Solanum lycopersicum: one gene and its partner. Each later gene encodes a partner of the first gene's protein in a complex. Links are inferred from orthologs where the notes say so. Each region holds a gene or a part of one and is shown on either strand. Other genes may lie near its edges. The genes, in order: eukaryotic translation initiation factor 3 subunit E and eukaryotic translation initiation factor 3 subunit K.

Region 1 (4,250 bases):
TGCTAACAGTTTTGCCTTTCCTGATTGCTTAGAGACGAGGCATATGAATTTCACAATTACGGGTGGTCTTACTATGATTTACCAGCTTCGTTTTCGTTTGTTTTCAGTAGAGAGATGTTTGCTTCTGTTAGTTTTTGTAAACAGTTTCCAGGGTGAAGTTGAATTACTTGCTTGTAGAAGTCTAGTGTGTTGTAGAGCAGTTAATGGGCTATCAAAACTAAATCCTTTGTGTTTCTTTTGATGTGTTTACTATTCGATCATGACTACTTTAAAGAGTATTTGGTTCGGCTTATTTTAGAAAATAAAATATAAACAAATCTATTTCAAGGAGCCCAAAAGTCTACTTTTATCTTTATTTTAAGGTTAATAAAGGGTTGTGCTTTATTCATATGGAGTTTATTTGGTATTGAATTACAAGACTTTTCAGAATAATGTAGCCCTATGAATTAAAAACAAGAACGACAAGAATGATAATACTATTAGACCTCTTATCAAATTTATGCATAGTGATCTTTAATGAAAATAATTTTTAGCGGGATAAAATATTGACATTAATAAAGAGTGTTAAAGTCACATGGGCATTAGATAAGTGTCATTAAAATTAATATCGTTAAAGACTTTAGGAACATATAACGATCATTAGTTGGAATATGCTCTGGTGTTTTTTTTAGCCATATTTTGCCACTTTGGTAATAAAATGCATTCAGTTGCCCAAAAAAATAATTTAAGATAAGTTGTTTATTCTTTTTACTATAGCATGTGAATATATGGAACTCATCTTTATTTTAAAACTACTCCTAGGAGTAGTATATAGAGTTCAAAAAATGATAATCGAATATTATAAAATTAACATATTCGAGTGAAATTGTTTTGATGAAGCACGTTCACAGGGTCAAACAAAGATGGTGATAGTTAGTAATGATAATCGTGAAGTGATGACTATAAGTGATTGATTATAATTGTTAAAAATGAAGGTAATAATTGACGATATTAGTAAAAAAATGACGTATATTGTTATTGAAGATGGTTAGTGACATAGTATAATAAATAATGGTTGAAGGAGGTTGCAATTAGAGATACTAAGATTATTCGATAGTAGAAATAATTTGATGGTCATCGTTCGATAGTGGATCGATTATAAAAATTAATAATTATTGATAATAGTTAGCGTAATATTTAACAATATTATTATGATAATACTTTTACCTTATTGTTTTTAGAAATCAACACTTTTGGATTTTTTTAAAAATTCAATCAAACAAATTATTTTCTATCGTAAAAATCAAAACCAAAACAAAAAAAAAAGAAAAAGAAAAAGTAGTTGTATTGAAGATGGGGTTAAAGGTAACAATATTTAAAACCCAAGGGGGAGTTTCAACATTATTTATTCCTTACAGCAAAAAAGACGAAACCCTAGAAATCTTTCTTCTACCGATCCACTTCTCATCTTTTCAGTTTCTCTGGTTCTGCACGGCGGCGAGTTTTGTGGTTGCTATCTCTTACCGACAGTAGCAATCATGGCGTCGAAGTACGATTTGACGCCACGTGTAGCGCAGCAATTGGACATTCACTTGATTTTCCCGTTACTGGAGTTTTTGCAAGAGCAGGGATTATACCCAGATGAATATATACTCAAGGCGAAGATTGAGCTGCTTAATCACACTAACATGGTTGATTATGCTATGGATATTCATAAGTCTCTCTATCATACTGACGATGTGCCTCAAGGTATCATTTAATTTTTTCGCTTCGTGTTTCCAATTGATTTTTTTGTTTATTAATCTTAATACTTGTGCTTTTTTTTTTTAGCAAAAGGGGTTTTTTTTTGGGGGGGTGGGGTTGTGAATTTTATGGATATTGTTTATACAAGTTGTCTATGTGCTGTTCCTCAAGGTTATCTCTTTCCCCCCTTTGTAGTAGTGAATACGCATTGATTTGTGTGTTGTGTGGGGTGGGGTTGTACGTCAAGGTTTCTCTTTCTTTCCCTTTGGTATGAATGCCCGTTGATTTGTGCCCTTACTGATCGAAATACCTTGTGCCCTTTTCAGCATGAAGGTTTTCGTGTGTGGTGTGGGGTTGTTAGTTTTAATGGATATGGTCTCTATAGAAGTTGTAGAAGTTGTCCTTCAGGTGTCTCCTGTTTCCCTTCATATTGGTGTATGTTTACATATTGGTCCACGTATTGGTGAATGCTTATTTATTTGTTGCTTCACTTAATGCTTTTGCACTTTTAACAAAAGGTGTTCTTTTTTGGGGTGGTGATATGGTGGTAGTTGTAATTTTGATGGTTCTGGTCTGTAGAAGTTGTTTAAAATTTATTCGAAGGGGATAATCTGTATAGTTGATGTATAAGAGTAAAAAAATCTGGTGACTTAGCAGTGCCCTTTTTAGCATAGAAGTTGTTTTCTTGTGGGGGTATTGTAATTCTGTTGGGGCAGTCTCCGTAGGTTTTCTTTGGAGTTGTCCCTTGAGGAATCTGTATAGTTGTGATCAGATAGAGATTTGATATGGGAGGCAATTTTGACGTTGTTGTCTGGATTTTCTGTTTGAGCTTTACAGTAAATGCATGCAATGTATGTAGATTAAAACCTTCTTGGTGTACTTAGATAAGATAAACTGTTGGTACACATACGTGTCGGTACAGAGTCTAACCATTTGCGACTTGCCCTCAGGGATTCCTCTGTTATTAAAAAAGTTTAGTTTGAGCAGAAGTGATTTTGGGAGTTCCTTTACATGTTTAAATTCTGCACTGTCTTTATAATTGCCGTTTGATTGTTCAGAAATGATGGAGAGGAGAGCCGAGGTTGTGGCAAGGTTGAAAGCACTTGAGGAAGCTGCAGCCCCATTGATCACTTTTTTGCAGAATTCCAGTGCTGTGCAGGAGTTGAGAGCTGACAAACAGCACAATCTTCAGTTGCTCCAGGAGCGGTACCAGGTGCATAGATCTAGTTTGATTTACATGATATAGAGTTCCTTCTTCTTTAGTACTTAATGTTGTATAATTAATAATATACTTGTTAAAGGGATCACAAACAGAAGTTGGTCTCTAGCTAATTTTGTGAATATACATTTTTTATTTTAGTAATGCTCTTACAAACCTGTCCAGATTGGTCCGGACCAGATAGAGGCATTGTATCAATATGCCAAATTTCAGTTTGAATGTGGAAACTATTCTGGTGCTGCTGATTATCTTTACCAGTACCGAGCATTGTGCACAAACAGTGACAGGAGCGTCAGTGCATTGTGGGGAAAGCTTGCAGCGGAGATACTAATGCAGAATTGGGATATTGCACTCGAGGAACTCAACCGCTTGAAAGAAATTATCGACTCAAAGGTAATATTTTGCATATATTGAGTCAACAATCTGTCTGTTTGAGTTAGTCTTACCAAGTTGAGTATCCTGTAGGAAAAAACTGAATGATCCTCAGTTTACCAAGTGTACTAAAAGTGTCGCTTGTCTTGCAGAGTTTCTCTACTCCGTTGAATCAAGTTCAGAATAGAATATGGCTAATGCATTGGAGTCTATTCATCTTCTTCAACCATGACAATGGCAGGACACTGATCATTGACCTGTTTAACCAGGACAAGTATGCCAACTGTACTTTAGTTGCTATTGCTTATAGATGATTGTTTTCATTTGCTGCTTCATTTTAGATTTCCCCATCCTGTTTGAGCTAGGCATTTTTTCTGATACTATCACCTACCGAGTATGATGTAGAGAAATATTTTAGGAAGCTCCGATTACCTAGTTCTTTCCCTTAGTGGGAAAATGGAGAAAACTAGATGAATTAGAATGAAACATGATCTGGAGGGTCAGGAACACACTGTATTTCTTATTTGCATACAGCAGAATTATGTTTGAAATATAGTTTTCTTATTCCAAAATGTTTGAAATAAATATTGCTCTTCTTTTGTGGTAACATACATTAAGACAGTATTCTTCTTGATATGTCTCGATTAAAGTAGCTGTTATTTTTCCTTTTGTTGGTATTCTATGGATTTACATCTTCCCTTTGAGCTTTTCTAAATCATTGAAGTCTTGCAGATACTTGAATGCCATTCAAACAAGTGCTCCCCACTTGCTGCGGTACTTGGCTATTGCATTTATTGTCAACAAAAGAAGAAGACCTCAATTTAAGGACTTTATAAAGGTTATTCAGCAGGAGCAACACTCTTGTAAAGATCCCATCACAGAGTTTTTGGCATGTATTTACGTCGACTATGATTTTGATGGGGCACAGGAGAAGATG
Region 2 (4,279 bases), on another chromosome or scaffold:
ATTCTCAATCTGCACAAACTCAGTTAGTATGAAGATCTTGTTATAAGAAGTTGGGGATACAAAAGTAACGGAGATGGTACTCAATCTTTTAACTTTTTTGGATGCCTCAGGGATTTAGATTTTACGTTAAGTTGATATGGCACATTTAATTAGATATGTTGTGTTACACTTTGTCTAAGTAAATATTTATTATTAACATAACTTCACCATAAAACTATCGCCTTTGGCTGTAAATTTGTGAAATTAATGTAGTATATTATGTCTCAGTTGTTTGTTGTAGTATCTCTCTTACTTTCTTGCCAATATCTCTATCATTTATTTTTAGGTACTTTGACATCTTGCAATTTCATAAATGTTGTGACTGGATAAGCTTGCGTGGATTCCAATTGTACCATGTTGTTCTAGACTAAGATACCATCATCTTGTAACTAAAAACTCCTAACACTCTTTGACTTTTTGGGTTTTATTATCACTACTACTGCAACAACTTTTGAATCAGTGCATCTGCACGACATGTTTGTGTCTATTGTAAATATTGTGAACCTTATATATAGTAGTGTGACATCAAGCTTGTATTTAAGTAGTCTTGTGCTCAATAATTTGTTCAAGATTCTTGGTAAACTCCAATTTCAGTGGCTTTCGTCATTTCTTTCCTCTGGCCTTTTTCTAAAGGAATTAGATTATCAATTTCCTTAAGTTATATTGTTTGTCACCAAGCAATGTTAACGTGGTACAATACTAGATATTTATTATATTTATCTCTTATAGGCACCAATCATTTTTTTTTGTTCGTTTTTATCTTCTCTATTTTTCATATTTATTAATTTACTTTTACAAATAAAATCAATGCATAATTAATAATATATTACTTATTTATATTATTTATAACTCATATTTTTTCATCTTGCTTCTAATTTCCACTCTTCAATATTTTTCATAACTTCTTATGTTTTATTTCACAATATTTAATTAATGTTTTAAAAATTATTATAAATAATTTTAATAATAAAGATACAATGAAGAAATTCATTTATTTTTTTACGAAGTTAGAATTTGTATATAGAATCAGGTAATCTCGTCCCTACGAGGACATCCGATAAAAAAATCAAGTGATCCCATAAAAAATATAAATAATATTCAAATATAAAAAATATTTTGATGTAGCATAAAATATTATTATTTTAAGATATGACCTCTTATTCATTTGCTTTATCACAATAAACATTTTATCTTACTATATATGTATGAATATTTGTACTTAAAAAGATGAAAATAATAATATTCTTTTATATATATCCCGCACTAACATAAAAATATAAATATTTTTAATACTCAATTAAAACAAGATTGTTCATTAAATTATTATATGAACATATAATTATGCGAAGAGCGAACAATTTCACTTATGAAATATAATAATGTCAGAAAAAAATTTCAATTTAAATCAATCTAATTTCAAATCATATTCAAGGATTGAGAGAAATTTGAAGGGTATATCCGTCACAAACAAATAATCCCTCCCGTATCTCTTACTCTCGCCCTCTTAACCCTAAAACCTCCGTTCAGCTGTACTGCAAGTGCAACCCCTTTTGGCTCCTCTCTTCACCTTCCAATTTGTTCGAAAGCAGTCAGATACAGTTTACAAAATGGTTCAAGAGGCGACTAATGGTGGTTCCGAGAAGTCACAGTTGGCTATCACTGTAGAACAGCTCATTGCCGTTAACCCTTACAATCCAGATATCCTCCCTGATCTTGAAAACTATGTCAACGAACAGGTACACCAATTCACCATCGTTCATCACTCCAAAAATTAATCTTTTTGTAATGGGTTGCCAACCCCTTTTCAGATTTTTGTTTCTGCTGAATTTTCCGTTGTTATTGATTGAGTAATCCCAATGTTAATTTAGGTTTTGTCTCAAACATACAATCTGGATGCAAACCTTTGCCTGCTCCGTCTTTATCAGGTTTATATCGTTATTTTGAGAATTAATCATGGAGGTTTGTTTGTTGTTTGATTTTGTTTTTTTTTTATTTGTTTGGATGTGTGCAGTTTGAGCCGGACAGAATGAGTACACCAATTGTTGCTCGTATTTTGGTTAAGGTGCAATCAAGTTCTTGTTTTGCATACTGTGATATTACTTGTTGCCTCTGTTATTATCTAACTTATTATTTGCTTGGTTGTATTGATAGGCCTTAATGGCAATGCCAGCTCCAGATTACAGCCTGTGTCTCTTCCTAATCCCCGAACGAGTGGTATATATCTCTGAAGCTGCCTTGATTATGACTTTACCTTTGATGAATATGAATTGTAAATTTTGCTAGTCTTGTGTACTCTGCTGGAAAACATAAAAACTGTCACAGCCAAAGATGTAGGTAGATTTGTTACTACCCCTATTTGTGACCAGGAATATTAGCTATTCTCAGTCATGCCTAACACAGCTTGACAGTTGTTTCATGGCTTGTGTAAAATGAAAAAGGAAGGCAGTTGATCAGATGACATAATTCTACTATAAAAATACCCCAAAAGATCTTCCTATATTTCTAAATTTTTGAATACTCATTTGTCATCTCCTGCTGTGTATCCAACTAGATTGGAGGTACATCATTTTATTTTATAGCTGGCAGTTTGGGAAGGTTGCTTTGTTGGTTCAGAAATGTCCTCGTGCTAAGTTTTGAGGAAATTAGATAAACAGGAAAGTCTGAAACAAATAAATAGATACATAGTGATGTACGATATTTGGTGTTGCTCTATATATAAACCGATATCTGCAACATAAAGGTTGTAAAACTGAGCAACAACAACATACCCCAGTGTAGTTCCACAAGTGGGGTCTGGGGAGGGTAGGATGTACACAAACCCTTACCCCTACCTTTGTGGGGTAGAGAGGTTGTTTCCCAGAAGTTCTTCATTTCCTTATGTTGGTATTCTTTAATTTCTTAGCTAGTATAGTTTCATATTTGTTAATGAAATGCATCCTATGATGTACACAACCTTACCCCCCACTTTTGTGGGGTAGAGAGGTTGTTTCCCCGTAAGTTCTCCATTTTCTTGTATTGGTGTTCTTAAATTTCTTAGCTAGTATAGTTTCCTATTTGTTAATTAAATTCATCCAAAGGGATATTGAGGAGGGTGAGGATATACATAGCTGGCCCAAACAAGATTGGGATTGAGGAACAGTTAAGGTTGTTTCCTAGAAGTTCTTCATTTCCTTTTGAGGGGCACTTTCATGTACACTCTTTTTGCTGCAACCCCCATAGACATCTATTTATTGTTGCTCAACTTTGCAAACACTTTTCGCCTTAATTTTCTTTACTGTTTCACTGGGGTTGTGGTCATTGTGGTGATTTTTTTGGGAGCAAGGCAGAATGCATGCTTTGACATCTACATATGAATCTTCAACTGTGTTAGATGCATTGCCCTATCCTTTTTTCTTCATAATGATTTTCTCATTTCATTCCTCAGCAAATTGAAGAGCAATTCAAGACACTAAATGTTCTGTCACACTTCTTAGAGGTATGCCATGTTGTGTTTGCTGAAAGTTTCTTCCAACTCTGTAGTTAACCCAACAAGTACACACATCTTTTTGCAGACTGCAAGGTTCCGCCAATTTTGGGATGAAGCTGCAAAGAGCCGCCACATTGTGGAAGCTGTTTCTGGTATTACTGAATGCTTTAATCCACCCCTCATCCACAGTGTTCAATAGTAGCAATACGGATGCAATAAGAAACCTATTTGTTATACGTAATAAGTGTCAGATTTTGCGGCAACATGCTTAAAACTGTGGAGAGAGAGACATTTTATGAAGTGATTGAGTTTCAAATCATTTCCTTGACCCTATTTATTCCAACTATTAGTAGTAAAAATTTTGTTTCAGATATAACCCATCAATATTCTTGAGTTTTTGACTACCCAAAAAAAATTCCTAGAGTGTTTCTTGTTGACAATTACACTTGGCCCCACCTATTTACAACAAAATGAATGAAGCACAGAATATAACATTCTAAACCCCTCATATTAACCACATAATCTAGGTATTATCTCCATATACTTGATCCTCTCCTTGCCCAAAATGAATGAAGTACAGCGTATAATATTTATAACCCCTCATATTAACCACATGATCTGGATATTATCTCCATATAGTGTTAATCCTCCCCTTGCCCACAATGTGCAATAGCAGTTTTGATACAATGAGAGAACCTATTTCTTTTAAAAAGAATTACATTTTTCTGGACTTGCTTGGCTTTGTGCAACAAGAGGAGTTTCATGTAGGGATTT

What was found.
Region 2: eukaryotic translation initiation factor 3 subunit E (region 1) and eukaryotic translation initiation factor 3 subunit K share a complex: the UniProt entries of both Arabidopsis thaliana proteins name them as parts of the eukaryotic translation initiation factor 3 (eIF-3) complex. The link is inferred for Solanum lycopersicum from reciprocal best matches to the Arabidopsis thaliana genes EIF3E and EIF3K.

The regions. Positions count from the first base shown.
Region 1 is NC_090809.1:60,505,741-60,509,990, reverse strand, and holds the start of eukaryotic translation initiation factor 3 subunit E, read left to right. Parts: upstream 1-1,367; 5' UTR 1,368-1,517; coding exon 1,518-1,728; intron 1,729-2,780; coding exon 2,781-2,935; intron 2,936-3,106; coding exon 3,107-3,334; intron 3,335-3,465; coding exon 3,466-3,587; intron 3,588-4,045; coding exon 4,046-4,250. Other genes in the region: calcium-binding protein CBP, read left to right, coding at 1-32. UniProt on the Arabidopsis thaliana protein: Component of the eukaryotic translation initiation factor 3 (eIF-3) complex, which is involved in protein synthesis of a specialized repertoire of mRNAs and, together with other initiation factors, stimulates binding of mRNA and methionyl-tRNAi to the 40S ribosome.
Region 2 is NC_090806.1:58,133,214-58,137,492, forward strand, and holds the start of eukaryotic translation initiation factor 3 subunit K, read left to right. Parts: upstream 1-1,345; 5' UTR 1,346-1,646; coding exon 1,647-1,775; intron 1,776-1,907; coding exon 1,908-1,964; intron 1,965-2,050; coding exon 2,051-2,101; intron 2,102-2,190; coding exon 2,191-2,253; intron 2,254-3,463; coding exon 3,464-3,514; intron 3,515-3,590; coding exon 3,591-3,657; intron 3,658-4,279. UniProt on the Arabidopsis thaliana protein: Component of the eukaryotic translation initiation factor 3 (eIF-3) complex, which is involved in protein synthesis of a specialized repertoire of mRNAs and, together with other initiation factors, stimulates binding of mRNA and methionyl-tRNAi to the 40S ribosome.